Linked DNA regions of Ovis aries. The protein of the gene in region 2 interacts with the protein of the main gene of each other region in a pairwise test. Links are inferred from orthologs where the notes say so. Each region holds a gene or a part of one and is shown on either strand. Other genes may lie near its edges. The genes, in order: ABCF3 and FCHSD2.

Region 1 (4,360 bases), on a different chromosome or scaffold from region 2:
CACAGACAAGGAGCTGTTCCTGGTCTACTCTGATAGACCAGAAAAGCAGCACAGCCTCCCTGCCCATCTCTGGGTGACCCAGAGAATGCCTCAGGCTTGCTCACCACCTCTCTTCCTGGAGTGGCCAAGAGGAACTGAAAACAGCTGAGTCAGCAGCCTGACTCCTGAGAAAGGGAGTGGGAGAGGATTCGGCAGCCTGAAGAATCCAGTGAAGGCTCTCACCACAAGAAGGGCTTTTGAGAGCAAGACTTAGATTAGTACTGCCAGCATGACCACTAATTCCACCTGCTAGAGACAGATCTCCCTTCTCAGAGGAGGGATCAACCCTTCAAGCAAAAGCACTCATCTCCAGCAACTAGGTCTGTCACTACAGGGAACAGGAAGCAGCAAGGCTAGGAGTTCCTAGGACTGTGGGGGTCCTGCCATTTCACAGGTCCCACTGAGTGGCCAGCAACTGGCTGCTTGGCCAATACCACCAGACCTAATGGGAACCAGGCTGTAATAGCTGAGCATCCAGGATGCAGCAAGGGGTGGGGAACAGTCCAGATCAAGCCTCTGGGAGAAAGAGACCTGGCCCTGCATGCTGGAGAGGAGGGATGGGAGTGGGGGCACAGCTGGCTCAGCCAGGGCACTCACCCGATGTCATCTCGGTAGACCCGGGAGATGAGCACCTCCCCCTTGTGATTATAGATGAATAAGCCTCCAATCATGGCGGCAGCTCAGTCTTCGCAGCCCATCGCTCTGAGAAGAGACCTAGGATAGATGGGGGCAGTGTAAGGGAAGGCGGCAGAATCTGAGCCCTGTCCCCTAAGGGGCTGTCCAGGTCACTGGCTGGGCCTTTTTCCTGATTCAACCCTCCAGCAAGTGACCCTACAGTCCTTTCAGCCAAGCCCCTCCCTTTCACCAGGCCCCAGTTCCTGTTTATCCCATACTGGGAGAAAAGGAGAGGGACTTAGGCCCAGGATTCTAAGGCCGTTCTGACCCTCCCTTTCCTGGGACTGAGCCCAGAGTAGCCCCCTCCCCCTTTCACAGCGCTGAGCTCAGCAAGGCCCCTTCCTGTGCAGACTCTCAATCAGGCTCTAGCTGGTGAGTCACTGCAAAGGCCTGCCTGCGGCTGCAGGAATGGCGGTAGGAATTACTCCAGCTGGTTCAGGCCTGGAGCCCCCAGGCAAAACTTTAGGAGCGCTACTCTCAGCCTCCACTACCCTTCAGAAAAGGCAGCATGGCCTGAACCTTTGACTCTCTAATTCACAAAAGTCTAAACATCACAAAAGTCTAAACATTCTAGGAAAGGGGGTGCAGGGATTAGGGAGGAGAGAAGAGAGCCCTAAGGCCCTGACACCAACCCAGGAGTGCTGCTCCAACCTCTCCCAGGCAGTCAAATAAACAAGCAAGAGCAGAGAAGAAAGGCCCCAGCCCTGACAGACTACACTTCAGTGACCCAAGCAGCTTATTAGTTATTTCTGACCACCTCTCTTTGAAATAGAGAAGCTCCCCCTCAGCTCCCAAGTAAATAAGAATACAGGGGTGTTGTGAGGAAGGGGAGAGCAGGTTCATAAGATCAAGAGATCCGTCCAGTAGAAATTCTGATTCCAGACCTGCAACATAATTCATTTCTGACCTGAATGCCTAAAAACAAGGGGCAGAATCCCGGAACTATCTAAATTATTTGGGTCCAACTAATTCAGATTGTTTGCAAGGAGAAAAAGGGTTTAGTTCTATATTTCCTGGATTAGCCTTGGTGTTAATTTCACAAGAGGGGCAGTTTAGGAGACTTTCAGTTTCTAAACTGGAAAATAAAGTGTATTATTATAGCAGTAAAGGTGTCCCAGGATAAGAGAATAATTCTCTCAAAGTGGTGGACACTTCCCATTCCTCAGTCCCAGAGACCAGGAGAGAAAGCGCAAAATGGAGGTAGGGCCCTGGGCAAAGAAGCAAGTTCACAGGGATCAGGTGGTAGGGAACTCAGGGCATCAGAGAAGCAGAGATGGTGCCCAGATCAGGAAAGGAATATTTAGTTAAGGGATAGACTGGCAGCAACAGCCAGGCAGTGTACTCAAGTGAGCCCACAGCAGCAACAGAGCTGGTGGGGGCACCTGGAGAAAAGAGTTTCCAGTATGGCAAAGGTCAAGGTTTTGAAGAGGAAAACACGGCAGGGTGAGACTAACAGTGGTGAATAAGGGAAAGCTGGGGAGACGTAGCTTGCTGTGGTATGCAGGTGTACAAGCATGCGCGGGTGGTGGGCTTTTCGCCCCGGGGAGGACATCACGGGTAAAGATGGTTCCACGGCGTGCGGGGGCTGTCACTCAACTGCAAGGAGAGGGTGCCGCAGAGTGGGGACCTTGTCACAGTCCAAGGAGGCGGCACAAGGAGGTGTCACTGTCCTAGGGGATGGGGGAATTGTCCTTGCCCCGGGAGGAGGAGGCGCCGAGGGCTAGGAGGTTGTCACGATCTCAGGGAGGGGGCCGCCGCGCGGCGTCCCTGTCTGGAAGGATTCCAAGAGGGTCTCCCTCTCAAGCGAAGCTCCGGGCGGGTCAGGTGGAGGGCATCGCTCCGCGCCCGTCCTGCAACCGCGCCCCGGGCGCCCCCGCCCCGCCGTCAGCTCCCTTTCTGATCTGAAGGCTGAGGCCACTCCCGGGTGTGGGCTGCTTTCCGCGTAGCGCAGTGCAGTGAACGGCAAAGCTAGGAAGCCAGGGAGGCGTCCTCCCTCACCCCGTATGGCGAGATCCCGAGCTCACCTGGTGTCCGCGGCCCTCTGCTCGGCCGGCCCGGCCACTCTCCGGATCCCAAGATGTCCGCCCGCCCCCTGCTCGCCTGCCCGCTGCCTCGGCTTTCACTGCAGTGTTGCGGCCCCGCCCCGGCCTCAACTGCGCGTGCGCACCCGCCGACGGCGCAGACTACAAATCCCAACAGGCCTCTCGGCCTTATCTCTTACAATTTTAAGCGCCCCTAGATTTCGTAGAACTACAACTACCGACAGCCTTCGAGACTCGAAGGAGGGGCTAGGCGTGCCTTGAGGGTGAAGTAGGAGGGCTTTATTCGGCCCCACCCGCAATACACAATCCAGAATACGCTGCTATGCTCACTTCCTTTTCCTCATTGAGCATTCTGGGAATTGTAGTTTCTGCAATCCTTCTTGTTCCTCTTTCAGAGTTTGTGAGAGCCTCAGCCTGGGGTCGCTAAGAGTTGGACACGACTGAGCGACTTCACTTTCATGTATTGGAGAAGGAAATGGCAACCCACTCCAGTGTTCTTGCCTGGAGAATCTCAGGGACCGCGGAGCCTGGTGGGCTGCATAGTCCAGTCTATGGGGTCGCATAGAGTCGGACACGACTGAAGCGACTTAGCAGCAGCAGCAGCAGAGGATTACTGCCATTTGTTGAAGCCCATCTGTTAAGCCTTGAATTGCTGTAGGCCTTTCAGTCTCCAGAGTCCGAGGACTGATTGTCATTTTATACAGACACACACACACACGCACAGGACTTGGCAGTAGAAGTGTTTGTGCTGAGTTAACTGCTTTATAACATGACCTCTGATTTCCCCAAGCTTTTTTGCATCGTATATTTGTTCTAGACATGAGCCTTTTCCCAGGAATCAAGACTTAAGGTACGGGGCAGGGAGTAAGGAATCAAATATTTAGAAGAAAAGCTAAAATTTTTCAAAATATGTTTGTGTTCTACCTCAACTATATACCTATGGGCCTGTGAGGTCCTCAAGGTCAGGACCTGTGTGTCTTCTACTGACAGGCATACATGTGGCTTAGAAAACCATTGGCAAGTTGAGTTTAACTGGACATGGGATTTGAAATCCCTTCTTTGATAAATGATCTTCACATTCAAGCTAAGAGGAGACAGAGCCAATCCTAGCACATGAAAGGTCTGCCTGGCTCTTGCAGGACCTGAAGAACATCTGTTGGCTCTTCTCTTTCTGTAGGGAGATATACCATGTTGCCTTCCCTAGGCAGGGCCGAGCCCATCATGAGAGGAAGCAAGGGCAAGAAAGGGCAAACCTAGTTGCAAATCCTACTATTCCTAGAATTCTCCTGATAGAAACCAGAATATGGCAGGATGAAAATCTGACCTCCTACAGATCAGGGTCACAGTCTTAAGCCATGAAGCGACTGAATACAGGCTCGTCTAATTCTTGAACCAGCACTCAAGGCTTACTCCTACCTTTCTAGGAGCTTTGTCCTCAACACCTACCCTAAAGAAAGTGAAAGAAAGTGAAGTCACTCAGTCGTGTCTGACTCTTTGCGACCTCATAGACTGTAGCCTAACAGTCTCCTCCGTCCATGGGATTTTCCAGGCAAGAATACTGGAGTGGGTTGCCATTTCCTTCTCCAGGAGATCTTCCCAACCCA
Region 2 (3,810 bases):
CACTAGCAGGATAGGGGTACCACTCACCAGGATGGGAAATAAGGGAGAAGGATGATGTCTGAGAAGGAGGATAATTAACTAGTTTTTTGCTGAGTTTTGGGGGTTTGCTATATATATACACTAAGATTTCCACAGATCTGAAGCTCAGAGAAGAGATTGGATAGGTAGTTATAAATCTGGGAGCTGTCAGGAAATAAATGGTTATCAAAGTCTTGGGAGTAAATGAGATAACTCAGGAGTAAGTTTAACGACTTTAAGAGCAGTAGCCCTGGGACTCCTCTGGTTGCGCAATGGTGAAGAATTTGCCTTGCAATGCAGGGGACGTGGGTTCAACCCTTAGTCAGGGAACTAAGATCTCACATGCCATGGAACAACGGAGAGGCTGACCTGAGTGCCCAAATACCGAGGCTGCACACAGCAGCTACTGAAGCCTGTGTGCGCTGGAGCCCACACTACAGACTCCGTGCAGCGCATCGAAAAGATCCCACACGATGCAACAAAGACTCCACCTGCTGCAACTAAAGCCTGACGCAGCCAGACAAATTAAAAAAAAAGAGGGAAGGGGTTAGTGGATGGAACCCTGAGAGGCATCAACAGAGCTGGGTAAAGGCAGAGAAGCCCTCAGAGGCCAATGAAAAGGAAGGCCAGGAAGTAGAAGGCAGACCAGGAAAAGTGTGGTGGAACAAATGGGTCCACTTCTCTCCACTACTGCTCTTCCCCACTAGTTCACATTACTGTCCTCTCTTGCTTGGACCATTGCTCCAGCCTCCTAACAACTCCCCCTGTTCATTCTGACACTTTCTACTCATTTTCCACCTAGCTGCCACAGTAGTGTTTTTAAAATGCACAGCTGGGATGTCCCTGGTGGTCTCCCAATTCAAGGGATATAGGCTTGATCCCTGGTTGGGGAACTAAGATCCCACATGCTTCAAGGCAACTAAGCCCACTCACTGCAACTAAAGAGAAGTCCATGCTCAGTGACAAAGAGCCCACGTGCTACAAGTAAGACCAAGTGCAGCCAACATAAAATTATAAAAATTATTAAGTAAAAATAATTTTTAAAAATGCACAATCAGTCATATCACTATCTGGTTTACAATCTTACAACATCTTCCTATCACATTTAGGATCACGAACCAAGTCCTTAACAAGGCACTCAGTATCTGCTGAATGAACAAAGACAAAGGTTGTAAGTGGCTCAAAGAATTGTGTCAAATGCTGATAAGAGGGTCTAGGAAAATAAAACCGCAAATGTAACTAGATTACCATGCGGAAGTTATGACCCTGGAAGAACTATTTCACAGTGAGGTAGTCGGATGGATTTGATGACAGCCGAGTGAGGGGTGGGTAGAGGTGATTATTTGTAAAGAACAAATAATTTCTTTGAGAATAGAAGCTCTCAAACCTCAAAAGGGCATGTATCTTATATCATCTCACTGTCTGTCGAAGAGGAAAGTAGAGGCCTGGGAAAAAAGTTCTCAATAAACGCCTGCTGGAAAAAAAAAAAAATTCTGTTTCACAATTAGACTGCTTTAATGCTCACAGAACTTGTTATACTTTAAATACACTTTCCATAGTTATCACCTGGCAATCTCACCATGGCTTAGTGAGGAAAGTGCCAGCGTAATAAGCTAGACCTTCCAAGATGTGTTTATTTTTATAGCCTTCCTTTTCCAGAGCTCTGTTTAACTTCCCAAGTCCATCGCAACCTGGCATGGAAGAAATTAGTAACAACACAGGGGTCATGGAGCTCCATTAATTTCTAACTTTCAATCTGGAAGAACTATGCACTCTATTACTCAGCTAGATAAGAGACTTACAGGTCGCAGTTTCCCATATGAGGTCTCAGGAGTATGCCTGGATGCCTGCGAGAATCCTGGCGATTCGGCATGGAAGCTGTTTTCTAAGGGAGGGAATCAAAGCAGCTCAATTTATTTGTGTTGCTGAGCAATACAGATGGTAGTTCAGATCTGTTTACCCTTCAGATGAACACGTGGCTTTCCAAATGAAAGTGTATTTTGACAAATGCCCACGAGACCCCTTACCGTTTGCTGAAGGAGAGCGGGAGAAGTACTGGGAGCCCCTCTTATCTGGGCTGGGGTAAGGGCTGCTGGGAGGCTGGTCATACAGCGGCAGTGGAGGCAGGGAGCTGGGCGGTTTGGGGGAAGGAGAGACCTGCAGCAAAGGGAACAGAGGTTACACAGTGCTCACTTCAGGAGGGAGGTCAGCTGGCTTCTCTGACTGCTCCTGGCAAATAACCCTTCTCCGGAGCTACATTATGACTATTAACTTTTTTGACCACCCTAATTAGAAGCAAATAAGCCTAGTTTGATGGCTAAGTTGAAGATGATCTCTCTTGGTAAATGCATGCATGCTCAGTCCCTTCAGTTGTGTCTGGCTCTTTGTGACCCCATGGATTGTAGCTCGCCATGCTCCTCTGTCTGTGGGAATTCTCCAGGCAAGAATACTGGAATGGATTGCCATGCCCTCCTCCAGGGGATCTTCTCGACCCAGAGATCGAACCCACGACTCTTACGTCTCCTGCGCTGGCAGGCAGGTTCTTACCACTAGCACCACCTGGAAAGCCGCACTTGAAAATATGTGGGTTATTTTAAAGTATCTTTTGATATTGATTTCTAACATAATTCCACAGTGCTAAGAGAACAGACTCTGTTTGATTTCAATACCTTTAGACCATGACATTTTTGCACCTTGTTTTATGTCCCTGGATATGTTCCAGTGTCTCCTAATTTACAGTCTATAGGAACTTGAAGAGAATTTGTATCCTACTATTGTGTGAAAATTATATAAATCTTAATTACATTGAGTTGGTTCACAGTGCTTTTCAGGCCTACTATATCCTACTTCTCTGTATATTCATTCTACTAATGTTTGAGAGTTTGATATTGAAACTCCATCTAAAAATCTTAATTTATCTACTTAAAAAATAATTGTAAAACATGGTGGAACTATATACAACCTTGCTCTGTATTTTCCAAGTCTCCTGTGAATGTGTTATCATCCTTTCATAATTAAAAAAGAGTAAAATAAAAAAGCAAATGAGCCTAGAATAACCACACTACCACCAGTTTTGTGTTGCATTTAACTTTTTCCTTCCATAGATCTCATTATAGATCTCATAGATTTTAGTTTAAATTCAACATTTACCAAGTCAAACCATTCTCTAGAGTTCTACTGAAAACATATCAAAGTAGTCAATTCAGTGAAGAACAAAAGAAAAAACAAGTTCTATTTTTTGGTGAAAAAAAAAAAAATTGGCTGAGTTTCTGACTTCCCCAGGCTTTGTAATTGTCATGTTCAGTGGTCATAATACTGTACAAGCAAGATGGGCAGACATATTCCTTACGGTCCTGGACCTGCCAGGCCTGTTGTGACATATCTGAATTAGGAGTTTCCCGTAAAGACAAGTTATGCTATGATGAAGTAAGCCTCAGGCCACATGAGTACATGGGGCTTTGGGAGTCTCATTAGTTCTCTGAAAAGGATTAGCAGTGCCTGGGCTGGGCAGGGAGGTTCTGACAGTGAGGGAGAGAAAGAGGCTGCTAATATTTTTACTGTATAAACTAACCACAGAGACAACACATTCCCTCTCCGGTTTCTTTCTTTCTCCTCGCCAAACCAGTCTTTTGTAGGTCACACACAGTGTAGTATTTTGGTTCCTCAATTCAGAGAACAGAATGTGGGAGACATGAAGTGTAATATAGCCATTACACAGAGCCTGGCTGACAAGTCTCTGCTTCCCAAATTCAGTCTTGTGGTAACTTGGCAACCAAAAACTGGAGTGGTAAG

What was found.
Region 1: the proteins of FCHSD2 (region 2) and ABCF3 interact in binary tests that used the Homo sapiens proteins (3 or more experiments, as listed by UniProt). The two-hybrid records come from large-scale screens. The link is inferred for Ovis aries from reciprocal best matches to the Homo sapiens genes FCHSD2 and ABCF3.

What each region holds. Positions count from the first base shown.
Region 1 is NC_056054.1:203,764,122-203,768,481, forward strand, and holds the start of ABCF3 (ATP-binding cassette sub-family F member 3), read right to left. Parts: upstream 2,809-4,360; 5' UTR 2,739-2,808; exon of another isoform or gene 754-2,738; 5' UTR 711-753; coding exon of another isoform or gene 637-710; 5' UTR 1-636. Other genes in the region: AP2M1 (AP-2 complex subunit mu), read right to left, coding at 637-710.
Region 2 is NC_056068.1:51,102,031-51,105,840, forward strand, and holds part of FCHSD2 (F-BAR and double SH3 domains protein 2), read right to left. Parts: intron 2,176-3,810; coding exon 2,046-2,175; intron 1,904-2,045; coding exon 1,821-1,903; intron 1,710-1,820; coding exon of another isoform or gene 1,686-1,709; exon of another isoform or gene 1,493-1,685; coding exon of another isoform or gene 1,424-1,492; exon of another isoform or gene 1-1,423. UniProt on the Homo sapiens protein: Adapter protein that plays a role in endocytosis via clathrin-coated pits. Contributes to the internalization of cell surface receptors, such as integrin ITGB1 and transferrin receptor.